Linked DNA regions of Anolis sagrei. The protein of the gene in region 3 interacts with the protein of the main gene of each other region in a pairwise test. Links are inferred from orthologs where the notes say so. Each region holds a gene or a part of one and is shown on either strand. Other genes may lie near its edges.

Region 1 (8,054 bases), on a different chromosome or scaffold from region 3:
TTAGAACCATGGATTGCCCAAGCCTAATATATAATATTGATGTATATACAATATATATATACATATAATATTTATGTGTGTGTGTGTGTGTGTGTGTGTGTGTATATATATATATATATATATATATATATTGTATATACATCAATATTATATGTTTATACAATATATTATACTATATTATATTATATTTAATGTACTATTAAAATTCCCTGGCCTCAGGCCACTAAGGTTATACTTAAAACATTATACTAAAAATCCTAGAAGCTCCACTTCTTTAGGCCATGTAAACATTGCCAAGTCCGAGATATCATAATAATAATAATAATAATAATAATTATTATTATTATTATTATTATTATTCTCCGCTTTATCTCCCCAAAGGAAACTCAAAGTGGCCTCTGTTCTGCTGCCCTGGGGCATTTTATTTCTTGATCTGGGCCACTCCACCCAACTAGATGGCCACTCCACCCAGCCAGAAGCTTCCTTGCATCTATTGACCTGATGTAGCCTATATTTAGAGGTTGAACTTACCTTTTTGAGAGGAACCGTACTTCTGAACCAGTTATAGTCCGGAGAGATTTTAATCTCTCCCATGATGGTCGCGAGCCCACAGTGAGGAACACCTGAAACATAAAGGGAGACGTTTCTGTCTAAAAGAACATGCGTTTCAGCTAAAAACACAAAAGGTACTCAGACGTACAATGGATTCATTCAAGGCAAAGCTTGCTCGCCGCTCTGAGCAGTGGATTAATCTTCTCTTTCGAACTGTGCTCCTTTGGCTCGGTTTGAGAGAAATGTTTAGAAAGGGGAAGTGATTTTGAAAACACGGCGTTTGTGTCTGTTACGTACAAAGTGGCAGGAAGAACAGAAAGCAAGAAATACACTGGCAGGGCAAACAATTCCTATGAAACCAGTCATGCATTACATTATATATAAGGCAAACTGCAGCTGTGCGCCTTGTACAATTCCACTTGAAGAAAGCTGCACAAAAAATGGGAGACAAAGTAAAGGGTTTGGATCCTTGACAATCCAGCCCAAAGGCTCCACTTCAGGATTATGGGACATTATTTACATTCTTTGCAAAGTCCCCAAGAAAACTGTATATCTCACTACCAAAGCGGTGAGCGTCTCATGGTCTCTTTCCATTTGCAATAACACTATGGAACAAAATACGCTATATGCTATATGCCTACGAAACGTGGACTGTCTACAGGCATCACTTTCTACTCCTGGAACGATTCCATCAGTGTTGCCTCCAAATCGCTTGGGAAGACAGGTGGACAAATATCAGCATGCTGGAAGAAGCAAAGACCACCAGCACTGAAGTGATACTCCTACGCCATCAACTCCACCGGACTTAGTGCCATATTGTCCGAATGCACAATCACCGTCTCCCAAAGCAGTTATTCTACTCCCAACTCAAGAATGGGAAACATAAAGTTGGTGGACAGGAAAAGAGATTGAAAGATGGGCTTAAAGACAACTTTATAAACTGTGGCATAGACACCAAGAATTGGGAAGCCCTGGTCCTTGAGCGCTCTAATTGTAGATCAGCTGCAACCAGCAGTGCTGCAGAATTCGAAGAGGCACGAATGAATGATGAAAGGGAGAAATCTGCCAAGAGGCGGCCCCTGACCGGGACCGCCTTCCACACAGAAACTGATGTCCTCACTATGGGAAAACATGCGGATCATGAATAGGGCTCAACAGCCACCTACGGACTCACCGGCAAGACACTACACTTGGAGAACCATCATCCTCGGGCTACAAGCGATCGCCTAAGTAAGTGTGGCGTCTGTAGACAGTCGTTTTGCAGGCGTATAGCTTTATAAACAAGCACCTGCTTTATTTGGAAGAATGCTGTACTCACAGAGCTCAGGTGGTGCTGTATAGCAGTGTCAATGTTGACTTTTATGGAGAGGTGGCTGCCAAGGGAACAGAAATGGTCAACAGTTTCTAATGTTACACCATTATGCATTATTAGCATATTTACTTACTTAGGCGATCTCTTGTTATCCGAGTAGGATTGTCTTCCAAGATTGGTGTCCTAGCGATGGGTCTGTAGGTGACTGTGGAGCCCTATTCTTGCTCTGCATGTTCTCCCACAGTGAGGGCATTGGTTTCCAAGTGGAAGGCGGTCCCAGTCGGGGTTGGCCTGATACGCCTTCCTCTTGGCATGTTTCTCTCTTTCACCCTCCGTTCGTGCCTCTTCAAATTCTACAGCACTGCTAGTCACAGCTGACCTCCAGCTGGAGAGCTCAAGTGCCAGGGCTTCCCAGTTCTCAGTGTCTATGCCAGAGTTTTCAAGGTTGGCTTTGAGCCCATCTTTAAATCTCTTTTCCTGTCCTCCAACATTTCGTTTTCCATTCTTGAGAGTAGACCAACTGCTTTGGGAGAAGGTGGCCGGGCATCCGGACAACGTGGCCAGTCCAGCAGAGTTAATGGCAGAGGACCATCGCTTCAATGCTGGTGGTCTTTGCTTCTTCTAGCACGCTGACATTTGTCCGCTTGTCTTCCCAAGAGATTTGCAGGATTTTTTGGAGGCAATGCTGGTTGAATCATTCTAGGAGTTGCGTGTAACATCTGTAGACAGTCCACGTCTCGCAGGCGTATAGCAGAGTTGGGAGGACAATAGCTTTATAAACAAACACCTTGGTATCCCTACGGATGTCCCGGTCCTCAAACACTCTCAAAGTGTCTCAAAGTGAGGATTAGCATACCACAATATTAGTACAATATATTATTATATTGTAATATTACCAATAATTGTACAACCTTATTAGTAATATTACATGCAATATGTAATATACAATTATTATATTATATTATGATATAATATATTGTACTATATTGTATAATATATAATACATAAAAGGTACACAGAAACCAGATTATAAAATGCAGGGGGAAATACCCCATTAAAATACTATATCAATCATTAGCATCACTGAAATATACCTAAGTTCCAGGTTTCATATAACTCAAGATCAATAAAAATATATGCAAAAATCCATACAACCTACAGAATATATATACACATGATGTATTTTATGAAATGCATAATGCAAATAATGACAACCAACAGGAAGAAGGTGAAGATCAGGGACAGACAAACAAACAAACAAGGCACCTGACTCAGCCCAGCTTCCCTATCAGGGGCATGCCATTCCTCTAAGGGAGGCAAGCTGGGATCTACCATTCTTCTTTAGGCTCCCCCAAAGGCATGATTTGGGGTCTCTCGCTTACCCACTGCCTAAAAACCTGAACAAAGGCACTCCCTTCCTCTCTTTTTCAATCCTTACCAGGTTTTCCTCCGTTTCGAGACGGGCGGGTGGACGAAACCACCTTAACAAACACACCGTCCCTCCCCTTTTCCCGCTCGAATGGTATCTTCCAGTCCCTACTTCCTGGTCTCTCCAAGTAGGCGGAGACGAAAGGTGTGCGGCGCCAGCCAATCAGCGGACGTCACAAAGCCGAGTGGGCGGGGCTCCCCATAAAGGGGCGGGAAGGGGACGCAGGGAAGAATCACGTGGAGGCTCCAGCCACGCATGCGCACAAAGCCTTGAAGTTTAAAGGGGATTTCACCACCAGCAGAAGCTGGGTTGTTGTGAGTTTTCTGGACTCTCTGGCCATGTTCCAGAAACATTCTCTCCTGACGCAGTGACATTCCCAGTCCAGCACTCCAACGCCTTAAATCAAGAAATAGTACAAAGATGTACAGAGATACTCACAGGAACATCTCAGTAAGCGAGAGTCCAAAAGTGGCAGGCTAAAGCCTGGAACCTCAATCCATGGCTGATACCAAATGAGGAAACTCCCCCCTGAGCTCACAGAAGAGTGGACGAGCTGAAAGTCTGTTGTTGAAGACTTTCGTGGCTGGAATCACTGGATTGTAGGTTTTTTCAGGCTATATGGCCATGTTCTAGAGCAGGGGTCCTCAAACTAAGGCCCGGGGGCCGGATCCGGCCCTCCAAGGTCATTTACCCGGCCCTCGCTCTGGGTCAACCTAAGTCTGAAACGACTTGAAAGCACACAACAACAACAATCCTATCTCATCATCCAAAAGCAGGCCCACCCTTCCCATTGAAATACTAATAAGTTAATATTTGTTCTTCATTTTAAAGTATTTTTGCACTACAATTAAGATATGTGCAGTGTGCATTCATTCATGTTTTTTTTTTCAAATTATAATCTGGCCCTCCAACAGTTTGAGGGACTGTGACCTGGCCCTCTGTTTAAAAGGTTTGGGGACCCCTGTTCTAGAGGCATTCTCTCCTGACGTTTCGCCTGTGTCTAGGGCAAGCATCCTCAGAGGTAGTGAGGTGAGGTGGCTACCTCTGAGGATGCTTGCCATAGATGCAGGCGAAACGTCAGGAGAGAATGCCTCTAGAACAAGGCCATATAGCCGGAAAAAAACCACAACAACCGAGCTGAAAGTCGTTGAACAGACTGCACTCTGGCACCACGAGATGCAGGGCCAACCTTAAGAAATAGGGCCACAAACTGGAGTCCACAACATGCGAGTGTGGAGAAGAGCAAACCACAGAAACCCTGCCACATGCACAATGGAGAATCTTCTTGCAGGAACATCAGAGGCACTCCAAGTGGCCAGCTACTGGTCAAAGAACATTTAATATGCCAAGTTTTTTTTTTAAAAAAACTTGTTTTTTAAATGCATTGCAACTGTACCCATGGTTTGCTCCTAATATGATAAATAAATAAAAAATATTATCAAGATTATATCTATATATATTATATTATTAGCATAGCACAACTCTAGATTCCTAGCGTTGGAAGACACATCAAAGACCATCCAGTCCATCCTATAATAGCTGATAGATAAGATGGGAAGATAGGCAGAATAGATAAATAATCAAATAGATAGATATTCCTCGAGTTGGGAGGGCCCCCAAGCAATCCAAATCAATTTTATGAAATAAATGTTGTTCATTCGTTCAGTGGTTTCCGACTCTTCGTGACCTCATGGACCAGCCCATGCCAGAGCTCACTGTTAGCCGTCACCACCCCCAGCTCCTTCAAGGTCAATCCAGTCATGTCAAAGATCCCATCCATCCATCTTGCCCTTGGTCGGCCCCTCTTCCCTTTTCCTTCCATTTTCCCCAGCATTATTGTCTTCTCTAAAGCCTTCCTTTCTTCTCATAATGTGGCTAAAGTCCTTCAACTTTGTCTGTACTATCCTTCCCTCCAATGAGTAGTCGGGCTTTATTTCCTGGAGGATGGACTGGTTGGATCTTCTCGCAGTCCAAGGCACTCTCAGAACTTTCCTCCAGCACCACAGTTTGAAAGCATCTCTCTTCCTTCGCTCTGCCTTCCCTAAGATCCAGCTCTCACATCTGTAGGTGTCTACGGGGAATACCATTGCTTTAACTCTGTGGATCTTCGTTGCCAGTGTAATGTCTCAACTCTTCACTATTTTATCGAGATTGAACATTGCTCTCCTCCCAAGAAGTAAGTGTCACCTGATTTCCTGGCTGCCGTCTGTGTCTGCAGTAATCTTTGCACCTAGAAATATGAAGTCTGTCACGGCCTCCACGTTTTCTCCCTCTATTTCCCAATTGTCAATCATTCTTGTTGCCATAATCTTGGGGCTTTTTTATGTTGAGCTGCAACCCAGCTTTTGCGCTTTCTTCTTTCACCTTGATTAGAAGGCTCCTCAGCTCCTCCTTGCTTTCGGCCATCAGAGTGGTGTCATCTGCATATCTGAGGTTGTTAATGTTTCTTCCAGCAATTTTCACCCCAGCCTTGCATTCGTCAAGCCCCACAGGTCGCATGATGTGTTCTGCATGCAAGTTAAATATGTTGGGGGAGTGTATACAACCTCGCTATATGCCTTTCCCAACATTGAACCAGCCTGTTGTTCCATGATCAGTCAGTGCTTCTCAGCCTGGGGTCCCCAGATGTTTTTGGCCTTCAACTCCCAGAAATCCCAACAGCTGGTAAACCGGCTAGGATTTCTGGGAGTTGTAGGCCAAAAACATCTGGGGACCCCAGGTTGAGAAGCACTGATATTTATTTATTTATCGTGTCATCAGCAACCATTGTATTACAATTCTAACAGAGCAAAACAAACACAGAGATTAAAAAGAAAAGGGGAAAAAAGGAAAAAAACCACACAGATTTTGCAAATTTGGTAGTTGTTTAAATGTCCTTTGACCAGTATCTGGCCACTTGGAGTGCCTCTGGTGTTGCCGCAAGAAGGTCCTCCATTGTGCATGTGCCAGGGCTCAGGGTGCATTGCAGCAGGTGGTCAGTAGTTTGTTCTTCTCCGCACTCGCATGCCGAGGATTCCACCCTGTAGCCCCATTTCTTAAGATTGGCTCTGCATCTCGTGGTGCCAGAGCGCAGTCTGTTCAGCGCCTTCCAAGTCGCCATGTCCTCTGTGTGCCCAGGGGGGAGTCTCTCATCTGGTATCACCCATGAAATGAGGTGCTGGGTTTGGGCCTGCCACTTTTGGACTCTCGCTTGCTGGGGTGTTCCAGCGAGTGTCTCTGTAGATCTTAGAAAACTATTTCTAGATTTAAGTCGTTGACGTGCTGGCTGATACCCAAACAGGGGATGAGCTGGAGATGTCTCTGCCTTGGTCCTTTCACTATTGGCTGCTACTTCCCGGCGGATGTCAGGTGGTGCAATACCGGCTAAGCAGTCTAATTTCTCCAGTGGTGTAGGGCGCAGACATCCCATGATAATGCGGCATGTCTCATTAAGAGCCACATCTACTGTTTTAGTGTGGTGAGATGTGTTCCACACTGAGCATGCATACTCAGCAGCAGAGTAGCATCGCACTGATAGATAGATAGGAAAATAGATAGACCCTAGGATGGCCCGCCACCTAGAGGGGAAACGCGTAAGAAGAGCTCTGACTTCCTAGATAGTGAGTTGCGCCTGCGCACACGCCTCTCGTGCATTGGCCTCTCCTTCCCAGAAGGCAAATCGTACGCTTCGAGGTTGATCAGCGCGGCCTCTTCGGCGCGGGGGCTGCCGGGAGTTGTGGTCCCACCGCCGTTCTTCGCGGAGGCTGTGACGCTACATCCGGGTCTCGGTCTTCTGAGGTGGGAAGAACGACGGCGCCAAGATGGCGGCCTGCGGTTCCTGCGCGGCGGCGGCACGGCTCCTCAGCGCGTCCCTCCCTTCGGCGCGAAGAGGTAACTCCCTAACGGAGACCGAGGCTTCAGCCGCGCGCTAGGCCTCACTCCTGGTTTCGAGCTTTTCAAGGCCCTTGTTTAGGTTTTTAACAGCCCTGTGTTAACCCTGTGTTAACTTCCATGTTATGGATCTGATGATTGATTGATTGATTTATATTCTGCTTTATCTCTCCCTACGGAGGCTTAAAGCGGTTCCCAATCAATAACATTGCAATAATAACACAATATTATCATTATATATATTATCAGCAGTGTTGCATTTAATATATTGGTATTGTTATATGACTATTATTATATATTGTACTGTATTATTATTAGTCTTATATTCTGTTATTTTATAATATTATCAATAGTATATGTATATATAATATAATATATTATAACCATAGCATTATATTTAATTTAATTTATTTCTCGTGTCAGGGCAACCAGTCAATTATATTACATTTCTAACAGAACAAAGCAAACAAACAGAGAAAATACAAAATGTGTGAGTTTGGTAGTTGATTGAGCATTATATTAGTATTATATATATATATATATATATATATATATATATATATTGTTCTCCCAGATGAACCAATATTGCCAGCTTCCGTGCCTCTTCCATGAAAATAAGGCTGGGTATTATATTCATTTTTGCTCCAAAAGATACATTATTTTTAGGGGACGTCTTTATTTTTTAATGTACAAAAATCTCCATTTATTAATGTACAAAAATCTCTCATCCAAATCTTTAATGATAAATCGTCCTTATATTTATCACTGCTATATGCTATCTGCACCTCACTCATTAGCTCTATCCTCTAATATTTATTTTTTATTTATTTATTTAAAACTATTTATTTAATATTGTGACCCCAGTCCGCCCACCCCATTACAAGACATTGA
Region 2 (7,651 bases), on a different chromosome or scaffold from region 3:
CTCACCCTTTTTGTGACATACTTGATATTTGTAACTATTTAACTTACTAACAGTAATTTCCCCACCTCCCCCTTTCTCTCTCTCTCATTATTTTGTTAACCTTTTTCTTTATTTCCTGCTTTCCCCTTCCCCCTTCTTGGACCGAGCTTGGCACACAGAACCTCCATGACCAGTAAAACATACTGGAGTTATTTGAGGAAAATCCACCATGACTTGGGGGAGTTGTAGTTCACCTACATGCAGAGAGCACTGTGAACCCAAACACCAATGGACCAAACTCAGCATACATACCTGATATGCCAAAATTTGATTACTGGAGAGGTTTGGGAGGAACTGACCTTCCTTTCTGGGAGTTGTAGTTCACCCATAACCAGAGAAACTGTGACCTCCATCAATGATGGACCTGGACCAAACTTGGTACACAGAACCCCCATGAGCAACTGAACCTACTGTAGGAGTTTTGAGGGGACTGACTCACCATAGTGGGAATTGTAGTTTACTCTACAGCCAGAGAGCACATTGAACCCTACCAATAATGCATCTAGAGCAAACTTGCCCAACATAACAAACTTGAAGTACTGATGGAGGTTTTCAAGGTTATCCTGGCACAATATGAGTTGCAGCTCATCCACAACCTTATGCATTTTGTACAATTAAAACATTGATTTTTTTAAATAACCTGGGCAAAGCCAGGTACTCAAGTAAGTGTATATGTATGTGTGTGTATACACACTCACACACAAAAGATCAGAGTTTCTTCTGCCAAGAAAGAGCATACAGCACAACCCAAGCTGCCCTGTACCTCGTCATCCACTTCCTCCTCTTCCTCCTCGCTGGTGTCCTCTCGCTCCACATGCCAGTCCTCTCCCTCCACTTCGGAGTCGCTCTCCCCTATCACCTCCGGCTCCACAATCTTTCGGTGCCGCGCCAACCTCTCCTCTACGTCCTCTGAGATGCGGTTCTGGAGGCGGCGCAGGCGGGGGTCGCTGGCCAGCTCCTCCTCCTGCTCCTCGGGCTCTTGCTCCTGCTCCTTGGCCTTCTTGATGAACTGGAATTCCTCCTCCTCCTCATCCGAGGATTCCATGGGCGCATAGTCTGGGCGCTTCCCCGAGACATAGCGCTTCACCTTCACCTTCTCCATGGAGATCTCCCCTGAAGATATGAAGCAGAAAAAGAAAGGGTCACCAAATCATCTATCTATGCAATAAAGGTCAAAATATTTGTATATTTGTTAACATATGTATCAGCATATGTGTTTATCTATTTTTCCACAAACTCAGCACGCATACTTGCACAACCAGCTTAAAATACTGGTGACATTAGGGAGGCACAATAGTGCATGATGGGAACTGAAATCAAGGCCCTTCAGGGGTGCTGCCTGAGCCCCACTCACAACTGAAGGAGGGCATGGGAATTACAGCTGGCCAAACGTGGACCATGTGAGGGTTGCATCCTTCACCTGAACCATTTTAGAAATGATCCCATTATGCAGCAATATGTTTTCTAATGGGTCCATTCATAACAACCAAAACCAAACAAACAACTCTTCCTAATAAATAGGACTACAAAATATCTAACATGGGTACCACCGGGAACATAATAATAATAATAATAATAATAATAATAATAATAATTCTTACCCGCCCCTCCTCACGGCTCAAGGATCCCCTGTCTTTATTATGATTTTAGAGATTTGTAATACTGGTAGCCAGATTTTTTTATTAAATAAAGACTGGGGAGCTCCGGACAAGAAACAATCAGGGACAGCTAATCACCTGGAGCCCCTGGTGGCACAATAATAATAATAATAATAATAATAATAAAGCTTTATTTGTACCCCGCTACCATCTCCCGAAGGAAGAAGCCCCCGGTGGTGCAGTGGGTTAAACCCCTGTGCAGGCAGGACTGAAGACTGACAGGTCACAGGTTTGAATCCGGGGAGAGGCGGATGAGCTCCCTCTATCAGCTCCAGCTCCTCATGCGGGGACATGAGAGAAGCCTCCCACAAGGATGATAAAAACATCAAATCATCCAGGCGTCCCCTGGGCAACGTCCTTGCAGATGGCCAATTCTCTCACACCAGGAGTCACTCCTTACACGACAAAAAAAAATCTCCTGAAGGACTCGGTGCAGCTTACAAGAGGCAATGGGTTAAACCCCTATGCCAGCAGGACTGAAGACCAACAGGTCACAGGTTTGAATGCGGGGACATGAGAGAAGCCTCCCACATGGATGGTAAACCACCAAAACATCTGGGCATCTCCTGGGCAATGTCCTTGCATATGGCCAATTCTCTCACACCAGAAGCGACTTGCAGTTTCGCAAGTCGCTCCTGACATGACAAAAAAGCTAATAATCTCTCAACGAAGGATGCCCCCAGGCAGTAAGAAGCCACACCTTGAAAACTGCTAGGCCATTAAATGCTAATCAAGGTGGCCCATTGGAACATTCACACCTGCTTCAAACAGACAAGCGTTCTTTCTCCCATCCTAGACATTCCACAGATATATAACCCTAGTTTCCAACAGACCTCACAACTTCTGAGGATGCCTGCCATAGATGCAGGCGAAACGTCAGGAGAGAATGCTTCTGGAACATGGCCATGCAGACCAGAAAACTCACAGCACCCCAGTAATTCCGGCCATGAAAGCCTTCGACAACATAGTAACAGCAAAGAATAAGAATAGGAAGGGATTTTTAAAGGTGCTTCAGTCCAACCCCCTTCGGCCAGGACGGAAGACACGATCAAAGCTCTCACGACAGGTGGCCACTCGGCCTCTGTTCAAAGAAGGAGACCAGAAAGGAGGAGGCGCAGAAGAAGCAGGCCTCAGCGGGGCCCGAATATGGCCACGTTCTCACCTTTCTCATTTCGGACGGGGACGGCCCCCGCCGTGGACTGGATGGGCGGCTGCTTCATGAGGGCGCTGCTGGAGCCCGACATGGCGGCGGTAGAGGCCGTAGAAGCGGCAGAGGCAACACTAGGCACGGCGGATCCCTCTCGCTTCGCCTCTCGCGGGGAAACCCGGAACCGGAAGCTTCGTAGGTAAACAAGCCCAGAGGGAGCGCGTGACTTCCGCTCCCAAAGAGGACCAACGAGCGGAGCTGGATAGAGCGACTCATACCGTCTGCGCCCTCTGTCGGCGCGGAAGCGTCTTCCTGGGCCAGACTTCTTCCGGAAAAGGTGGCAGACGGGGATTTCCTCTGAGGCTGAGAGAGTGTAATCCAGGCCTGGACCAACTTGGGCCCTCCAGGTGTTTTGGACTCCACATCCCACAATTCCTAACATCCTCAGGGACCCTCCTTTCCCCTCTCAGCTGCTTAAGAACAGGCCTGGACCAACTTGGGTCCTCCAGGTGCTTTGGACTCCAACTCCCACCATTCCTAACAGCCTCAGGCCCTTTCCTTTTCCTTAAGCGGCTGAGGGGGGAAAGGAAGGGACCTGAGGCTGTTAGGAATGATGGGAGTTGAAGTCCAAAACACCTGGAGGGTTCAAAGAGCCTGAGGCTGTTAGGAATGGTTGAAGTTCAAGTCCAAAACACCTGGAGGGTTCAAAGAGCCTGAGGCTGTTAGGAATGGTGGGTGTTGAAGTCCAAAACACCTGGAGGGCCCAAAGAGCCTGTGGCTGTTAGGAATGGTGGGAGTTGAAGTCCGAAACACCTGAAGGGCTCAAAGAACTTAAAGCTGTTTGGAATTGTGGAACTTGAAGTCCAAAGCACCTGGAGGGCCCAAAGAGCCTGATGCTGTTAGGAATTCTGGGAGTTGAAGTCCAAAACACCTGGAGGGCCTAAAGAGCCTGTGGCTGTTAGGAATTGTGGGAGTTGAAGTCCAAAACACCTGGAGAGCTCAAAGAGCCTGAGGCTGTTAGGAATTGTGGGAGTTAGAGTCCAAAACACCTGGAGGGCCCAAAGAGCGGTTGTTAGGAATTGTGGGAGTTCAAATCCAGAACACCTGGAGGGCCCAAAGAGCTTGAGGCTGTTAGGAATGGTGGGAGTTGGAGTCCAAAACATCTGTAGGGCCCAAAGAGCTTGTGGCTGTTAGGAATGGTGGGAGTTGAAGTCCAAAACACCTGGAGGGTCCAGGTTTGTCCATGCCTGGTGTCATCATTGGAGCAGACGCTAATGATGCAACCCTCTCTTCCCCTTCTTTCATCTTGACAGACGGGAAGTTAACGTTGTTTGTTGTCCTAAAGGGCCTAGAAGGGGAGCTTTGTTTATCTTCTGATAAAGCGTTGTTTATCTTCACTAGGTCCCTCTTTGAGAGCCTCTGTGCAAACAAGGAAACCAAGGGCAGCCTGTGCTTTGATGACATGCTTCGCCTGTTGCCTCTGGCCCTTTGCCTGGGCCTCAGTGGCAAAGGGGCAGAGATGCAGAACAAATGCAGCTGGACACCAGGTCACTTGTTGGACCAATAGAGTCCCAAGAGTTACAGTTTTGCAAGGCCTTCCTGCCATAGCAAGTTATACTGCATCAACTCTACAAGGGAGATGCACCCTCCCATTGCACTCCGCTGTTTAGGCAATTCTGGTCCCACAAACTTGGCTGCTATATTGTCAAGATCAGGAAGACCAGACCAAGGGCAGCGTTCATACTGCAGCTTCCTTGGTTAAGGGAGTCCAGCAGAGATTGTATTATTATCTGAGACTTTTCTTTTTCAGTTTTCAAACGCTAGTAAAGGTAAAGGTTTTCCCTTGACATTAAGTCTAATCGTGTCCAATTCAGGAGTGGTGCTCATCTTTGTAACTCATTACCTGGTGAGATTAGGCAAGCCCCCACTCTAGCAATCTTTAAGAAAGATCTGAAAACCTGGTTCTTCAGTTGTGCCTTTAGAGAGTGACCATTCATCCCATTTCTGTCTGTTCCATCTACAGTGTTGTCCTTATGATGCACTTTCTCCCGTCCTAAATTGAAGGCCTAACCGTACTGTTCGTTCTTTTTGGGCTCCTCTCAAATACACTTTTTCTACTCCTACCTCATTCAAGGTTTTATCATTTTATCTTGTCCATTTGGCCTGCCCATTGTGTTCGATTTTCTATTATGCTATTTTGCTTTGTTTACTTTATTTTGCCACTGTATGTACTTTATTGTGATGTAATTTTTGTTGTTGTATTATGCACTTTATTTTGCTGTATTGTATCTTTAGGCTTGGCCTCATGTTAGCTGCCCTTAGTCCCCTTCGGGGAGATGTGAGGTATAAATAAAGATTATTATTATTATTGTTATTATTATTATTATTATTATTATGCATGGAGCGCCTTTATCTTCGGGTCGAAGCAGTACCTATTCATCTACTCACATTTACATGTTTTCAAACTACTAGGTTGGCAGAAGCTGGGCCTAACAGCAGGAGCTCACTGCTCTCTGGATTCGAACCGCCAACCTTTCAGTCAGCAAATTTAGCAGCTCAGTGGTTTAACCCGCTGTGCCACCAGGAGGCCTTTTTCAAACTTTATTGAATTAAAAAAATGTTTTAACATAAATATATGTTAACACTTGGATTAAGAGGCATTTTTCATATTAATATTATCATTCCTTTTATAAAGCAAAACAAAACTGCAGTAAGTTCTACTTTTCACTTGAACATATGACCCGTTAGATATAGCTGTGTAATTCAATTACTCAGTTTCACTGTGGTGAAAGATGGAAAATTATGAGCAATGTTATATTAGTTTCCAGGGTACAGGATTATGTTTAATTACAACTAGAACATGCATATTAGTTAATATAGATGACTTGCCCATGGCATTTTGTCAGTCAAATTATTTTGTCACACGGATTAAAGAATTGACAAGATAATCTAAAAATAACAGTATCAAACTATAATCCAACCACTTCCTTTAGCCTCATGGTAGAGCCATCCCTGGGTGCTCCCTCATGTGTGGTCATTTATCTGACACTTTTAAGGAACCAACAATTGGATGGAAAACTGCTTTTGACTTTTCTACCACTGCGCTATAGAGAGTGTTCTAACTTATTGCATCTGCATACGGTTTGCCAATTGCACAGCGGGAGATACGAAGGCATTCCAGAGTGTTACTTCTCACTCCTGCCCAGAGTATTATGGGTTTCCCTTTTTCTCTCCTCTTTGGAACAATGTCATACTTCCAGCTGCCTTAAGAAAGCTCAGAATATTCTTAAGGATCCATCTCACCCTGGATATTCTTCTTTTTCGTCTAATTATTATCATCTGAAGAGGTGGGATAGGATGAGCAAAACAAGGACAAATAGGCTGAGAAAGAGGTTTTATCCCAGGGCTGTGATTCTTTTAAATTCTAGGGTTCCACACTGTGGAAGAATGGTGCTTTGTTTTTGTCATCATACACATTTAATGGGTATGGGGGGTGGCATTAAATTTTGTTGTATGATGTACAATGACAATGAAGTCATTTTATTCTATTCTTGACCAGACCCCTGGCCTCATGGCTTCCTCACATCAGGGGCTCCAGGTGCCCAAGGGATGGATCAGAGCTGGCCACAGGAAAAGAACATGGAGTTTTCTCCTTGCACGTTCTCAGAAAGAGCAGGTCGGATCAGAAAGGGGAACAGGGCTGCCTTCTATCCATGTTCAGGTGGCATTGAGGAGATGGGTGGGCAGCACTGACCTGCACTAGTAAGGATTCAGAGAATATCCCTCCTGGAAGTCTTTTGTCAGAGGAGTCATAATGAGAACTGAAACAATAACAGAGAGGTGGACACATTGTCCTCAGGTGCATCACTTTGTGGATTAGGGAAAATGCCAGCGAGATAAGAAGGCCAGGAGAAAGAGGCGTTAAAGGTTGCTGTCTCAGAAGGTCCCAAAGAAAATGACCTAAGTTCCCAGAAGGTGATCTTCCTTGGAATCACTTGGTCCTCCAGTGGGCTGAGTGAAAGGCTGGGGCACTCTCTCAGCCACAAGGGCAAACCTCCTCTGAACAAATCATGCCAAGTAAACCCCATGATGAAGTCTCCATAAGTCAGTGACAACACAAAGGCACCAAACAACAACAACACTCATTGGATCCCATGCGAGTCAATGCTATGTCCAAACATCATGGGAGCCTTGTGAGGACAGCAGGCTGGTCATTTTCCTTGTGTCATCTCCCCTTCCAATCTGGCCATAAAAATGGTCACATGCGTATGTATTCACATTTGTTTGTTTCCCCCTTTTTTTATAGCATTGCCTTCACTTTTTCACTTTCAATTTCCCCTGGACCATTGATTAGCAGACTTGCAGAGCTTTGATGTTGCCATTTCGAAGCTAATTCTCACCTAAACCTTTTTTTCCCTGGCATACATAATTCTGAAAATAGGGCCTGGCCTAGTTTCTAATAAGGTTGGCCCCTTGGAAAGCAAACTTATCTTAGAACCATCTTGCATTTGGGTTAAAGATCAGAATGAGATGTAGGTGTTAGATCTGTGGCTTGGATCTAGAATCAAATGAATTCTTTTTGTTCTAAAACTTTTGCAAGTTTGGAAGAACAGTTCACCTTTTGGATGTTGATTAGGGACACTTACTCCTATTACTAACTTTCTAAACGATAGCAGTTTTAGCCCTTTGGATGCCCTGAAAAGTTTTGCCCTGCTTTTTGCATTTTAAGCTGTGTGTGGGAGGAAGTCAGATGGCTGAGTGACCTATGGTTTAACTTTGGAAAGGCAAGAACAGTGAGAAAAGCCAC
Region 3 (8,219 bases):
AGATGTCGATGATGTTCTCGACCAGGAGGTTCCGCTGCAGCCCGTAGACGCCGTGCCGGTCCAGGACCACCTCGTGGCGGCAGGACGGGCACCGGAACCGGCCCCCCGACGACACCGAAGCCGAGCCGCGCGACTGCCACAGCGGGTTCGACGCCTGCCGGGGGAGGAAAGCGGGTCAGAAGGAGCAGGGGAAAAGGGGCTGGCCCTCTGTCGGGAGGGATCGGGTGGAGTCCCTTGCAAGGCTAGTGTAACACTAGGGTTCTAAACAAGGTGCTCCTTGGCAAGACAGGCGGACCAAGAGGGTTGCTGAGCTGCCCCTTGACTAGAGCCCTAGCCTTGGAAGGGACACCACCTGATCCCCCCCAACAGACGGCCATCCACCTGGCCTCTGCTTAGGGGAATCCCTCTCCATGCCAGGAACTGCTGTGCTTGGGGGTATTATGGATCGCACAATATGTAACAATAGGATGCTCTCCTGATGTTTCACCTGCACCTGTGGCTCATGGCATCTTCAAAGGTGACACCACCCGAACCATCCCAACAGACGGCCATCCACCTGGCCTCTGCTTAGGGGACTCCCTCTCCACGCCAGGAACTGCTGTGCTTGGGGGTATTATGGATCGCACGATATGTAACAATAGGATGCTCTCCTGATGTTTCACCTGCACCTGTGGCTCATGGCATCTTCAAAGGTGACACCACCCGATCCCCCCCAACAGACGGCCATCCACCTGGCCTCTGCTTAGGGGACTCCCTCTCCACGCCAGAAACTGCTGTGCTTGGGGGTATTATGGATCACACCATATGTAACAATAGGATTCTCTCCTGATGTTTCGCCTGCACCTGTGGCTCATGGCATCTTCAAAAGTTTGTTGGAAGTGAGGCAAGTGGGGTGTATATCTATTTGTGGAATGATGTTCATGGCAAGAGAAAGAAGCAAGCGTGGATGTTGCAATTAGCCAGCCTGAATAGCACTGAGCAGCCAGGAAGTTGGGAAAGTCAGTCAGTGAGGGTCTTTTCATAGAGTTTGCCTGGGCTTTGATGAACCATAGAATCATAGAAGGGATCCCCCCTTGTGGTGCAGACGGTTAAACCGCTGAGCTGCTGAACATGCTGATCGAAAGGTCACAGCTTTGAATCTGGGGGCTGGGGTGAGCTCCCACTGTTAGCCCCAGCTTCTGCCAGCCTAGCAATTTGAAAACATACAAATGTGAGTCGAACAATAGGTACCGCTCTGGCGAGAAGGTAAGGGCAGTCCTGCCAGTGGCTTTGGAGGTGTCTGCAGACAACGTCGGCTCTTCAGCTTAGAAATGGAGATGAGCACCAGAGTCCCAGAGTCAGGCACGACTGGATTTAATGTTTCGCCTGCATCTTTGGCAAGCATCCTCAGATTGTGCGGGGAGGCTAACTTAACTAATTTACGACTCCATAAAAATCTCCAGCAAGCATGCAAAGAATGAGGAAGTACTCCATCAGTGTCACAAATGGACGGTGAAGCAACAGCTCCCCTGGTGGCCAGAATACCATCATGAAAAAGCTGGAATGTTAAATAGCCTCTGTGTGCCTTGCATACAGAGACCAGCAAAGTGATCTTGTTTACTGTGTACTCGTCTTGTTGTGTTTCAAAAAATAATAAATAGGCCAGATAAAGGTGGAGGGCGTCGATTCAGGGGAGGGCGGGGTCATCATCATCATCATCCTCATCATCATCTTCATTGTATTGTCGAAGGCTTTCATGGCCGGAATCACAAGGTTCTTGTAGGTTTTTTCGGGCTATATGGCCATGTTCTAGAGGCATTCTCTCCTGACGTTTCGCCTGCATCTATGGCAAGCATCCTCAGAGGGAGTGAGGTCTGTTGGAAATAGGACAATGGGTTTATATATCTGTGGAATGGCTGGGGTGGGGCAAGGAGCTCTTCCTTGCTAGAGCTAGGTGTGAATGTTTCACCTTCATTAGCATTTGAAGGTGAAATGCTAATGAGCCTGAGCCTGGGAAAAATCTCCTGCTGAGAGGTGTTAAGCTGTGCCTGGTTGTTTCCTCTCTGCTTCATTAGCATTTGAAGGCCTGCCTGAGCCTGGGAAATCTCCTGTTGAGAGGTGCAGCATACTCCACCACAGACATCAGAAGAGCTGCAAGACCACCGAGAAGAAGCCATGAGAGTCAAGCCACGAGAAACAACCAGGCACATAAAATCACTCTCAACAAAAGGTTCCCCCCAGGCGCTTCCAAGCCATTGAATGCAAATCAAGGTGATCAGCTGAAACATTCCCACCTAGCTCCAGCAGACAAGAGTCCTTTGTCCCACCCTGGACATTATTCCACAGATATATAAACCTATTTTCCTAGTTCCAACAGACCTCACTACCTCTGAGGATGCTTGCCATAGATGCAGGCAAAACGTCAGGAGAAAAATTGCCTCCAGAACATGGCCATATAGCCCAGAAAAACCTACAACAACCCAGTGATTCCAGCCATGAAAGCCTTCGACAATACATTGAACAAGGAAAAGCCTTAAGGCAGGTCTGGGCCAACTTCGGCCTTCCCTCCAGGTGTTTTGGACTCCAACTCCCACCATTCCTAACAGCCGGTAGGCTGTTAGGAATGGTGGGAGTTGGAGTCCAAAACACCTGGAGGGAGGGCCGAAGTTGGCCCAGGCCTGCCTTAAACCCAGTTAAGACCCTAAACATTTGGGGGGTGTTCCCTTGACCACTGACCCCTTGACCGCACCTGGAAGACGTCGTTGGCGCACTTTCGGCAGAGGTTGTGCTGGCAGGGCAAGATGACCACAGGCTTGGAGAACATCTCCAGGCAGATGGGGCAGATGAGCTGCTTCTCCAGGCTGTCCATGCTCTGGCCCGAGGGGCTCCCCCCGGTCAAGGACTTGAAGCCCCCCGGGAAGTTCATCCCAAAGCAGAAGCAGAAGGACGAGAAGGAGGACGAGAAGGGTCTCCCTCCACTCTCCTTCTTCTCCTCTGGCCCTTCTCTGGGGGGTATTTTTAGCCTCCCACGTGACCCCCAAGGCATGCCAGGCTCCCATTCCTGCTCGAGGTCATCCAGGAAGGGTGGGGCACCGAGGGTCCAGCTGTCGGCGGCATCAGGTGGCGCTGAGTCACTCGCCTCAAGGGGAGCGTGACGACGACACCCCTCTGGTGCAGACCCCCACCCACCAATCATCATAATCATCAACATGTGCTTTCTATTAATAGGGCCATGGAATCCTAGGCCTCTCCTCATGGGGATCTAGGCCAACCCTCTGCCATGCAGGAAAAGCACAGTCAAAGCACCCCCAACAGATGGACATCCAGCCTCTGCTGGAAACACCCCAGAGGGGGAGACCTCACTGAACCCCCTTCCCGCCTCTGGCACACAGCACTAACTCTAATAGATTCATAGTCCAGAGGAGGAGTTTTTAGTCCAAGAGTTTTAGAACTCCAATATGCTGATGACAACGTTGTCTCTGCGCATTCAGAAGAAGACCTACAACATCTGTTACAGAATTCCAATATGCTGATGACAATGTAGACTGTCCTCATTCAGAAGATATACAACATCTGTTACAGAATTCCAATATGCTGATGACAATGTAGACTGTCCTCATTCAGAAGATATACAACATCTGTTACAGAATTCCAATATGCTGATGACAATGTTGTCTGTGCTCATTCGGAAGAAGACCTACATCATCTGCTACAGAATTCCAATATGCTGATGAAAATGTAGACTGTGTGCATTCAGAAGATATACAACATCTGTTATAGAACTCCAATATGCTGATGACAATGCAGTCTATGCTTATTCAGAAGAAGACCTACAACATCTGTTATAGAATTCCAATATGCTGATGAAAATGTAGACTGTGTGCATTCAGAAGATATACAACATCTTTTATAGAACTCCAATATGCTGATGATAATGTAGTCTGTGCGCATTCAGAAGACCTACAAAATCTGTTACAGAATTCCAATATGCTGATGACAATGTAGTCTGTGCGCATTCAGAAGAAGACCTACAACATCTGTTATAGAACTGCAATATGCTGATGAAAATGTAGACTGTGCTCATTCGGAAGACCTACAACATATGTTACAGACTTCCAATATGCTGATGACAATGTAGTCTGTGCGCATTCAGAAGAAGACCTACAACAATGATGGGCAACCTTTTGAGCTTGGTGTGTCAATACTTCCAAAAAAAATGAGCATAACTCGAGAAGAAGAAGACCTACAACATCTGTTACAGACTTCCAATATGCTGATGAAAATGTAGACTGTGTGCATTCAGAAGATATACAACATCTGTTATAGAACTCCAATATGCTGATGATAACGTTGTCTGTGCACCTTCAGAAGAAGACCTACAACATCTGTTACAGAATTCCAATATGCTGATGACAATGTAGTCTGTGCTCATTCAGAAGACCTACAACATCTGGCTCATGTTCTCCTTCCTCTCGAGGACTCCCAGATCTTTCCCCACGCACTGCATCATCGTCCTCCATTCTGTCTCTTTGCGTTTCCTTTTTTCTGCTTACGTGGAGTCTCTTGCGTGTGTCCCTGTTGAACTTCACGGTGTTAATTTTGGCCCAACATCTGGAGATCCCTTTGAATTCTGCTCCTGGGGATGGATGCTGGTGGTGGTGATTGTTGTTGTTCATTCGTTCAGTCGTCTCCGACTCTTCGTGACCTCCTGGACCAGCCCACGCCAGAGCTCCCTGTCGGCCGTCACCACCCCCAGCTCCTTCAAGGTCAATCCAGTCACTTCAAGGACGCCATCCACCCACCGTGCCCTTGGTTGGCCCCTCTTCCTTTTTCCTTCCATTTTCCCAAACATCATTGTCTTCTCTAGGTGACCTCCTGGACCAGCCCATGCCAGAGCTCCCTGTCGGCCGTCACCACCCCAGCCCCTTCAAGGTCAAGCCAGTCCCGTCAAGGATGCCATCCATCCATCCATCTTGCCCTTGGTTGGCCCCTCTTCCTTTTTCCTTCCATTTTCCCCAGCATCATTGTCTTCTCTAGGTGACCTCATGGACCACCCCATGCCAGAGCTCCCTGTCGGCCGTCACCACCCCCAGCTCCTTCAAGGTCAATCCTGTCCCTTCAAGGACGCCATCCACCCACTGTGCCCTTGGTCGGCCCCTCTTCCTTTTTCCTTCCATTTTCCCCAGCATCATTGCCTTCTGTAGCTGACTTCATGGACCACCCCATGCCAGAGCTCCCTGTCAGCCGTCACCACCCCCAGCTCCTTCAAGGTCAATCCAGTCACTTCAGGGATGCCATCCCTCCACCTTGCTCTTGGTCGGCCGCTCTTCCCTTTTCTTTCCATTTTCCCCAGCATCATTGTCTTCTCCAAGCTTTCCTTTCTTCTCATGATGAGGCCATCTTGGCCTCTACTATCCTTCCCTCCAATGAGCAGTTGGGCTTTAATGTAATGTTCGTTTGTGGGATTAACAGAACTCAAAAACCACTGGACGAATTGACATCAAATTTAGACACAAGACACCTAATAACCCAATGTATGTCCTTCACTCAAAAAATTGATTTTGTCATTTCGGAGTTGTAGTTGCTGGGATTTATAGTTCACCTACAATCAAAGAGCATTCTGAACTCCATCAATGATGGAATTGAACCAAACTTGGCACACAGAACCCCCATGACCAACTGAAAATACTGGAAGAGTTTGGTGGGCAGTGTCCTTTGGTTTTGGAGTTGTAGTTCACCTACATCCAGAGAGCACTGTGGACTCAAACAGTGATGGATCTGGACCAAACTTGGCACGAATACTCAATATGCCCAAATGTGAGCACTGGTGGAGTTTGGGGAAAATAGACCTTGACATTTGGGAGTTGTAATTGCTGGGATTTATAGTTCACCTACAATCACAGAGCATTCTGAACTCCACCAGCAATGGAATTGAACCAAACTTGGTAGACAGAACTCCCATGACCAAACAGAAAATCCTGGAAGAGTTTGGTTGGCACTGACCTTGAGTTTGGGAGTTGTAGTTCACCTACATCCAGAGAGCACTGTGGACTCAAACAGTGATGGATCTGGACCAAACTTGGCACGAATACTCAATATGTCCAAATGTGAACACTGCCGGAGTTTGGGGAAAATAGACATTGCCATTTGGGAGTTGTAGTTGCTGGGATTTATAGTTCACCTACAATCAAAAAGCATTCTGAACCTCACAAATGATAGAATTGGACCAAACTTCCCACACAGAACCCCCATGACCAACAGAAAATACTGTGTTTTCTGATGGTCTTTGGTGACCCCTCTGACACCCCCAGGTTGAGAAACTCTTGGCATGAAATGCAGGGGGTCCTGAGCACTGCCAGAAACGCAGACGTGGGCTTTGTTGACCAATGTGAATTTTTTTTGGGGGGGGGGGCTGGCCAGCATGGCTTCCTTCATTCCAAAATAGCACCAGCCGCCAAAGTGACCGCAGCACCGAAAAAGGCCGGGCAGCAGGAGAGAGACAACAATAAATAGCCAGAGGATTCTTTCCAGGTGAATGGAGGGGGGGGGGGTCACTTTACCCCTCCCCCTTTCCTCTGTCAGGACACAATGGCCTCCTTGCTTTTCCCCTCACGTCCTGCAGCGTCCAGGGGTCCGGCTGCTGGGCTGTATGGCCATGCTCTAGCAGCATTTTCTCCTGACATTTTGGCTGCACCTCAGGCCCCTTCCTTTTCCCCCTCAGCCGCTTAAGCGGCTGAGGGGGAAAAGGAAAGGGCCTGAGGTGCAGCCAAAATGTCAGGAGAAAATGCTGCTAGAGCATGGCCATACAGCCTGAGGAAAGGGCCTGAGGTGCAGCCAAAATGTCAAGAGAAAATGCTGCTAGAATCATAGAGTTGGAAGAGACCTCGTGGGCCATCCAGTCCAACCTCATTCTGACAAGAAGCAGGAAATTTGCATTTAAAGCACCCCCAACAGATAGCCATCCAGCCTCTGCTTCAAACCCTCCACCACACTCCAGGACAGAGAGTTCCACTGCTGAACAGCTCTCACAGTCAGGAAGTTCTTCCTAATTTTCAGGAGGAATCTCCTTTCCTGTAGTTTGGAAGAACATGGCCATATAGTCCAAAAACCACACAACATATTGTTGTTGTTTGTTTACCCTCCGCTTTTTCTCTCCGCAAAGGAGATTTTTATTATTGTTGTTTATTTATCCCCCACTTTTTCTCTCTGCAAATGAGACTTTTATTGTTGTTTGTTTATTCCCTTTTTCTCTGTATTATTGTTGTTGTTATTTATTCCCTTTTTCTCTCCGCAAAGGACTTTTATTGTTGTTGTTTATTTATCCCCCGTTTTCTCTCTCCACAAAAAAGACTTTTATTGTTGTTGTTGTTATTTATTTCCTTTTTCTCTTTATTATTGTTGTTGTTTTATTCCCCTTTTCTCTCCGCAAAGGAGACTTTTATTATTGTGGGTGTTGTTTATTTATTCCCTTTATTATTGTGGTTGTTTATTTATTCCCTTTTTCTCTTTATTATTGTTGTTGTTTGTTTATCCCCCACTTTTTCTCTCCGTAAAGGAGACTTTTATTATTGTTGTTGTTGTTTATTCCCTTTTTCTCTTTATTATTGTTGTTTTATTCCCTTTTTCTCTCTGCAAATGAGACTTTTATTGTTGTTGTTTATTCCCTTTTTCTCTTTATTATTGTTATTTATTCCCTTTTTCTCTCTGCAAAGGAGACTTTTATTGTTGTGGTTCTTGTTTATTTATTCCTTTTTTCTCTTTATTATTGTTGTTGTTTTATTCCCTTTTTCTCTCTGCAAATGAGACTTTTATTGTTGTTGTTTATTCCCTTTTTCTCTTTATTACTGTTGTTGTTGTTTATTTATCCCCCGCTTTTTCTCTCCGCAAAAGAGACTTTTATTGTTGTTTATTTATTCCATTTTCTCTTTATTATTGTTGTTGTTGTTTATTTATTCCCTGTTTCTCTTTATAATTGTTGTTGTTATTTATCCCCTGCTTTTTCTCTCCGCAAAGGAGACTTTTATTGTTGTTGTTGTTTATTTATGCCCCGCTTTTTCTCTCTGCAAGGGAGGCTTTTATTGTTGTTGTTTATTCATCCCCAACTTTTCTCTGAAAATGAGACTTTTATTGTTATTGTTTGTTTATCCCCTGCTTTTTCTCTCCGCAAAGGAGACTTTCGACCGGAATGTCCAAGCATGGAACCGGACCGAGAGATGGACGGACGGAGAGACCAGTGCGGA
Region 4 (7,744 bases), on a different chromosome or scaffold from region 3:
CACAGAACCCCCATGTGGGCCACAGCAACACGTGGCAGGGGACGGCTAGTATATAAATAAAAATGTAAAGGGCATTTGGATCCTCCTCCTCTCCTAAATGGCCTGGTCTAGGAGATGCTGGGAACTGTAGTCCAGAAGAGAATGTGGATATGCTATTGTGTGTTTGTTTGCCAGGGGGAGTCATTTTGTACATGCACTGTAGCTTCTTTTTGCTTTTTTTGGCTTTTTTAGTCCCTTTTACTGTGTTTTCCTGTATTTTTATGAGTGATGGTCACTCATTGCCCTGATATGTGTATTGTGCCCAAATTTGGTGTCAATTTGTCCAGTGGTTTTTGAGTTATATTGATCCCATCAACCAATATTACCTTTTTATTTATATAGACTAGCCGTCCCCTGCCACGCATTGCTGTGGCCCAGTCTGGTGATCTGGAAAATAAAGTAATTCGAAAGTGTTGGTTTCTAATATATGTAATTTCTTTCTGCTTGTGGGTAAACAGTATTTCTTCCTGTTTCTTTGTCAGTGTTGATGTGGAGAGTATCTGGTTTGCCTACTCTGGAACATGCAACATAATTGTCTTTCTTTAGGGTCCCTTTCAAATCTATGATACTATATCTCCCTGTGTGTGAATCATATATATCTATCTATATCTATGGCTGGGTGGCTCTTTGTCAGGAGGGCTTTGATTACGTTTTCTTGCCCTGGTGAAGAGGGCTCTTTGATTGTAGGTGAACTATAAATCCCAGTAACTACAACTCCTAAATGTTAAAGTCTATTTCTCCCAAACTCCATCTGTGTTCATATTTGGGCATATGGAATATTCGTGCCAAGTTTGGTGCAGATCCATCATTGTTTGAGTCCACAGTGCTCTCTGAATGTAGGGGTGAACTACCACTCTCAAACTCAAGGTCAATGTCCACCAAACCCTGCTAGTGTTTTTGTTGGTCCTGGGAGTCCTGTGTGCCAAGTTTGGTTCAATTCCATCTTTGGTGGAGTTCAGAATGCTCTTTGATTTTAAGAAATACTGTTTAAGTAAACTATAAATCATCGCAACTATTCTGCGATAAATATTACTAATAATATTACAGGATAATGTTATAGCACAATGTAATATATAATATTAATATAGTGCTATGATAATAATATATTGTATTTACTTTTTACTTGTAAGCCACTCTGAGTCCCCTTCGGGGTGAGAAGGCCGTCATATAAATGTCGTAAATAAATAAATAAACTACAACTCCCAAATGACAAAATCAATTTTTGAGTGATGGTCACTCCTTGGGTTAGTAGGTGTCTTGTGGCCAAATTTGGCGGCAATTCGTCCAGTGGTTTTTGAGTTATGTTAATCCCACAAACATACATTACATTTTTATTTATATACTAGCCGTCCCCTGCCACGCGTTGCTGTGGCCCACTCTGGTGGTCATGGGGATTCTGTGTGGGAGGTTAGGCCCAATTCTATCATTGGTGGGGTTCAGAATACTCTGTGATTGTTGGTGAACTACAAATCCCAGCAACTACAACTCCCAAATCTCAAGATTCTATTTTCCCCAAACTCTGCCAGTGTTCACATTTGGGCATATTGAGTATTCGTGCCTAGTTTGGTCCAGATCCATCACTGTTTGAGTCCACAGTGTTCTCTGGATCTAGGTGAACTACAACTCCAAAACCAAAGGACACTGCCCACCAAACCCTTCCAGTATTTTCTGTTTGTAATGGGAGAACTGTGTGCCAAGTTTGGTTCAATTCCATCGTTGCTGGGGTTCAGAATGCTCTTTGATTGTAGGTGAACTATAATTCCCAGCAACTACAACTCCCAAATGACAAAATCAATTTTTTTTGAGTGAAGGACATACATTGGGTTGTTAGGTGTCTTGTGTCCAAATTTGGTGTGAATTCGCCCAGCGGTTTTTGAGTTCTGCTAATCCCACAAACAAACATTACATTTTTATTTATATAGATATGAAAATATCCCAAAATCCAAGACACTTCTGGCTCTAAACATTTCAGATAAGGGATCCTCACTCTGTATCCCCATTGAAAGGAATCCGGAGATCCTCACGAACACTGGGAGCACATCTACACTGCAGAATGAATGGAGTTTGGCACCTCTTTCCCTGTTATGGGATCCTGGAGTTCAGTCAGTGAAGCACCTGCACTCTTGAGCAGAGAAAGGCTGAATGTTATGGGGATCCTGGAGGTTGCAGTTTAGTTAGGGGGGCACTTGCACTCTTTGGCAGAGAAGACCTTGTAAAACTGCAGCTCCCAGGCTCCCACTGTCTCGAGGCATGGGAGTTCAAGTGGTGCCAAACTGCATTAACCCTACAGTGTGGATGCACCTTGTCTTGAAGTCCAAAGCAAAGCGTAAAAGTGAGGCGCAGAGAAAGAAAGTAGTGGAGAGTGGAGGGAACTCCATCTGCGGCGGTGCCGGGAAGGGGAGGGGGGGCATGGAAAGAAGGGCTCCCAGGCCCCCCAAATAGCCCTGGGAAACCCACAGAGGGGGGGAATGGGAAGGGGAAAGGCTGCCCTACACGTATCTATCCCCCAAACGCCTGGCCTTGGCCTTACCTTGGTGTAGAGCTCCGCCACCGACATGTCCTCCTGGCGGGCGGTGCGCAAGGCGAGCCCAGTCCTCGAAGCATCCAAAAAAGGCGCCCCAAAAAGAGGAGGAAAAGCCCTTCGGTACAATCCAAAGTCCGGCCCGGGAGAAGGAGGAGGAGGAGGAGGAGGAAGAGCCCAGGAAGTGCGGCGCTTGGGCAGAGGAGAGGAGAGGAAAAGAGAGAGGAGAGGAGAGAGCCGGGCGGTGCAAAGCCGGAGGGAAGCGCCCGACCTTTGCCCGTCTCCCGGGGAAAACTTACTGGACGAAAGGCAAAGGGAGGGAGAAGCGGAAGGGGGAGGGACGGGGCGGGGCTGCCTGGCCGCTCCCTCGCCAGGTAAAAGGGAAGGCAGGTAGGGAAGCAAGCGTGCGCAATGGGGCGCTCCCTCCCCGCCTGGTTTGCCGGGCTTTGCAGGTGCCTCGGCTCCTTTGGCGCACCGGCTGCCTTTGGCTTCAGGAAGGAAGGGAGGAAGGAAGCAAGGCTGGCTTCGCCCTCTGCTGGACGAGGAAACTTCCCTCCCTCTCTCCTTCCCTCCAAAGGGAACCCCGCAGCAAATTCCAAGTTTGGAGAAATTATATATACTTTTTGGGCTGTAGCCAATAGGACTGAACTGACCACGGAACAACAGACTGGTTCAAGATTGGGAAAGGCGTCTGGCAAGGCTGCATCCTCTCACCCAACCTTTTTAACTTGTATGCAGAACACATCATGCGATGTGTGGGGCTGGATGAATGCAAAGCTGGGGTGAAAATTGCTGGAAGAAACATTAACAATCTCAGATATGCAGATGACATCACTCTGATGGCCGAAAGCGAGGAGGAGCTGAGGAGCCTTCTAATCAAGGTGAAAGAAGAAAGCGCAAAAGCCGGGTTGCAGCTAAACATCAAAAAAAAAAAAACAAGATTATGGCAACAAGAATGATTGACAACTGGAAAATAGAGGGAGAAAATGTGGAGGCCGTGACAGACTTTGTATTTCTAGGTGCAAAGATGACTGCAGATGCAGACTGTGGCCAGGAAATCAGAAGACGCTTACTTCTTGGGAGGAGAGCAATGTCCAATCTCGATAAAATAGTGAAGAGTAGAGACATCAGACTGGCAACAAAGACCCGCCTAGTCAAAGCCATGGTATTCCCTGTAGTCACCTACGGATGTGAGAGCTGGACCTTAGGGAAGGCTGAGCGAAGGAAGATCGATGCTTTTGAGCTGTGGTGTTGGAGGAAAGTGCTGAGAGTGCCTTGGACTGCGAGAAGATCCAACCAGTCCATCCTCCAGGAAATAAAGCCCGACTGCTCACTGGAGGGAAGGATACTAGAGACAAAGTTGAAGTACTTTGGCCACATCATGAGGAGACAGCAAAGCCTAGAGAAGACAATTATGCTGGGGAAAGTGGAAGGGAAAAGGAAGAGGGGCCGACCAAGAGCAAGATGGATGGATGGCATCCTTGAAGTGACTGGACTGACCTTGAAGGAGCTGGGGGTGGTGACGGCCGACAGGGAGCTCTGCCGTGGGCTGGTCCATGAGGTCACAAAGAGTCGGAGACGACTGAACGAATGAACAGCCAATAGGATCCCTCCCTGGAGGAATTGCAAAGGAGGCAAGCAACACCTGGAGGCAGCAAAGAAATCCCTGTATGTGTCTCCAGAAATTGTCCTTTCAGAATGGCCCAAAATTTATTTATTTATTTATTTACTTTATTTGTATACCGCTCTTCTCAGCCCTTAGGCGACTCAGAGCGGTTTACAACAATTTAGGTATACACAATACAAAATCATTAAGCATTTAAAAGCAATAGCATCACAAATCATTAAGCATCAATATATCACTACATCAATATAACAAATCCATCAGGTCTCATCAATGAAATCAGAATCCAAACCCGTTATCCGATATTCCGTGTTCCGATAGTCAATCAATCACACTGCTTAGTCGAATGCCTGTTCAAACAGCCAGGTCTTTACTTTCCTCCGTAATGCCAGCAAGGAGGGGGTCGATCTAATATCTGCAGGAAGGGCGTTCCATAGCCGAGGGGCCACCACTGAGAAGGCCCTGTCTCTCATCCCCGCCAGGCATGCTTGTGAAGCCGGCGGGATCGAGAGCAGGGCCTCCCCAGACGATCTTAATGTCCTAACTGGTTCATAGGAGGAGACGCATTCAGACACGTAGGTCGGGCCAGAACCGTTTAGGGCTTTAAAGGCTAAAGCCAGCACTTTGAATTGTGCCCAGTAGCAAATTGGCAGCCAGTGGAGCTGGCGAAGCAGTGGAGTGGTGTGCTCCCTGAGTGCCGCTCCTGTTAGCATCCTGGCTGCTGATCGTTGGACCATTTGAAGCTTCCAAGCAGTCTTCAGAGGCAACCCCACGTAGAGAGCGTTGCAGTAGTCTAAACGGGATGTGACTAGAGCATGGACTACCGTGGCCAAGTCAGGCTTCCTAAGGTACAGGCGCAGCTGGCGCACTAGTTTTAACTGTGCGAATGCTCCCCTCGTCACCGCTGAAACCTGGGGTTCCAGGCTCAGCGATGAGTCCAAGATCACACCCAAGCTGCGAACCTGCGTCTTCAGGGGGAGTGGGTCGACTTAACCAGGGATCAGTGTTGCTACTTACCCAGGCAGTCCCCAAGTTACAAACAATAGAGGTTCTGAAGGTGCCTTCTTAAGTTGCATTTTACCAGCTGTTTGGATTTCAGCCGCTTGTGAGTTCTTACAGATAGATTACTCTGACCTTTAGAACGCAGGACTGAGATTAACCCCTTCTATCCCTTTGCAGCAGTCATCATCTTCTTTTACCCATCACCAACTGCTATGCATGACGCCAACTACCATCAACTACAGGACGTTACACCTAGGCACAAAACTGCCCCTGTTCATCATGATGCCTCTGAACTATCAGAGTTAAAATTTGGGGGGTGTATGCGCAGCGGAAGAGGTGCTAGATCAAACAGACACAGGACTCCAAAAATTCCAGGACTCTGCAGTTTTCCAGTTTTAAAATAACAAAGTTTGCTAAGTACATTTCAATACACGTCTACATCTAAGCGGGCAAAATCAGGAACTACAAAGCACAGCTTCAGTACAGTCTCGGAACATCTGCTTATCAGGCTCTCTGGCTGTAAGCTGGAAACTCCCTTTTTCTTCCCAGCAGAGAAACATGTTATCTAACTTCTGTCAAGGTCTCTTCTCTCTGTACCTCTCTGTCTCTTACAACAACAATTCCAACACATAATTGAACATAACAGAATCCATCTTGAATACATATTAACACCATTCTTAATCATATAGAAACACATTTAAAAACCATACATGCATACCTTCAGTAATCCTGACATTGAACAATATTTGGAAATCTGGCTAGTATTTGTGCTGGGCTAGTTTCCATCATCTCTTACTCAGTAGGCCCACTGACAACCCAGAATGTAGCAGGTTGGTATGGTAGCTCAACCTATGTTAGGAAAAGCCGCCTAAAATATAACAAAATGGATTAGACCAAAATTCCATCTAACCAAGCATCATGCTTCCAACATTGGTCACCAGGAGGTCTCCAACAAGCTTGCCTTTGAGTCATGCTTCTCACTTGAGAGGTACAGTGTCTTTAAATATAGAGGTTCATTATGCAATCATACTTAATAGCCATTAATAGACCTATCGGCCTATCTGTTTAACTTCTATGCTGAACATTTCAAACAAAAACATGGATTAGACTCTGAGGATGGAAGCATGAACATTGGTAGCACACCAACAGTCTAAAAAAAATTGATTAGAACATATTAAGGTATACTGAAAACGGGGTGAGTTTTGAAAGGATCAGTACCAAGGTTGGAATAGATATATGTGTTAAGGAAAAAAACTCATTCAGTTCTTGTGGGTTTTTTCGGGCTATATGGCCATGTTCTAGAGGCATTTCTCCTGACGTTTCGCCTGCATCTATGGCAAGCATCCTCAGAGGGTCTGGTTGCAATTAGTACAATGGGTTTATATATCTGTGGAATGGTTGGGGTGGGGCAGGGAGCTCTTCCCTGCTGCAGTTAGGTGTGAATGTTAGCTAATCACCTTCATTAGCATTTGAAGGCCTGCCTGAGTCTGGGAAAATCTGTTGCTGGGAGTTGTTAATCTGTGCCTGGTTTCTTCCTCATGCTGGTGATCACTGTATGCAGGTGCTAATTAAGGTCAGGAGGTTTGGACCACACCCGGTAAGAGTATAACTGGGTGTATTTTAGGATACATGTTGGCTCTCTATTTTGGGAGTTGGAGAAGCCATGCTGTGTTTTGTGATGGATACAAGGACTATGACCTTGATTATGATTGACCTGGATTGTGATGTTGTACTTGTGTGATTTTAAATAAATGTGTCAATAATTGTTTTTAACAAATTATTTTAATTATAACTCTTTTTTTGTAAGTTAGAGTGATGGCATTGAATGGCTGCCTGTTGTGAAGCTGCCCGGACTCCCCCCTCGAGAGTGAGGATAGGATACAAATATGCAAAATAAATAAATATGTAAGTTTGTTACTCTGTAGGATTCATTTTTGATGCAATGATACAAGTTTATATGTTTCCTAACTTCAACTGTGTGAAGTTAGTGTGTCTTTGTAGGACCAGACCAGTGGTCCTCAACCTTCCTAATATCATGGGCCTTTAATATAGTTCCTAAAATTGTGGTAGTCCCCAAACATAAAATTATTTTCATTGCTACTTCAGAATTGTAATTTTGCTGTTGTTATGAATTTTAATGTAAATATTTGATATGCAGGTTGTATTTTCATTCACTGGACCAAACTTGGCACAAATACCCGATACATCCAAATTTCAATACTGGTGAGGTTGGAGGGAGGGATTGATATTGTTATTTGGGAGTTGTGGTTGCTGGGATTTATAGTTAACTTATAATCAAAGAGCATTCTGAACTCCATCAACAATGGAATTGAACCAAACTTGGCACACAGAACTCCCATGGTCAACAGAAAATACTGGAAGAGTTTGGTGGGCATTGACCTTGAGTTTTGGAGTTATAGTTCACCTACATTCAGAGAGCACTGTGGACTCAAACAATGATGGATCTGGACCAAACTTGGCATGAATATTCAATATGCCCAAATGTGAATACTGGTGGAGTTTGGAGAAAATAGACTTGATATTTGAGAGTTGTAGTT

What was found.
Region 1: the proteins of TRIM54 (region 3) and SPG21 interact in binary tests that used the Homo sapiens proteins (3 or more experiments, as listed by UniProt). The two-hybrid records come from large-scale screens. The link is inferred for Anolis sagrei from reciprocal best matches to the Homo sapiens genes TRIM54 and SPG21.
Region 2: the proteins of TRIM54 (region 3) and MFAP1 interact in binary tests that used the Homo sapiens proteins (3 or more experiments, as listed by UniProt). The two-hybrid records come from large-scale screens. The link is inferred for Anolis sagrei from reciprocal best matches to the Homo sapiens genes TRIM54 and MFAP1.
Region 4: the proteins of TRIM54 (region 3) and MYO5B interact in binary tests that used the Homo sapiens proteins (3 or more experiments, as listed by UniProt). The two-hybrid records come from large-scale screens. The link is inferred for Anolis sagrei from reciprocal best matches to the Homo sapiens genes TRIM54 and MYO5B.

Annotation. Positions count from the first base shown.
Region 1 is NC_090029.1:18,381,433-18,389,486, forward strand, and holds the start of SPG21 (maspardin), read right to left. Parts: upstream 3,444-8,054; 5' UTR 3,303-3,443; intron 3,258-3,302; exon of another isoform or gene 3,131-3,257; intron 808-3,130; exon of another isoform or gene 701-807; intron 624-700; 5' UTR 595-623; coding exon 532-594; intron 1-531. Other genes in the region: CLPX (ATP-dependent Clp protease ATP-binding subunit clpX-like, mitochondrial), read left to right, coding at 7,094-7,163. UniProt on the Homo sapiens protein: May play a role as a negative regulatory factor in CD4-dependent T-cell activation.
Region 2 is NC_090029.1:22,573,369-22,581,019, forward strand, and holds the start of MFAP1 (microfibrillar-associated protein 1), read right to left. Parts: upstream 3,291-7,651; 5' UTR 3,287-3,290; coding exon 2,860-3,286; intron 1,153-2,859; coding exon 803-1,152; intron 1-802. UniProt on the Homo sapiens protein: Involved in pre-mRNA splicing as a component of the spliceosome.
Region 3 is NC_090021.1:828,575-836,793, forward strand, and holds the start of TRIM54 (tripartite motif-containing protein 54), read right to left. Parts: upstream 3,194-8,219; 5' UTR 3,191-3,193; coding exon 2,729-3,190; intron 155-2,728; coding exon 1-154. UniProt on the Homo sapiens protein: May bind and stabilize microtubules during myotubes formation.
Region 4 is NC_090022.1:287,337,321-287,345,064, reverse strand, and holds the start of MYO5B (unconventional myosin-Vb), read right to left. Parts: upstream 3,066-7,744; 5' UTR 2,597-3,065; coding exon 2,570-2,596; intron 1-2,569. UniProt on the Homo sapiens protein: May be involved in vesicular trafficking via its association with the CART complex. The CART complex is necessary for efficient transferrin receptor recycling but not for EGFR degradation.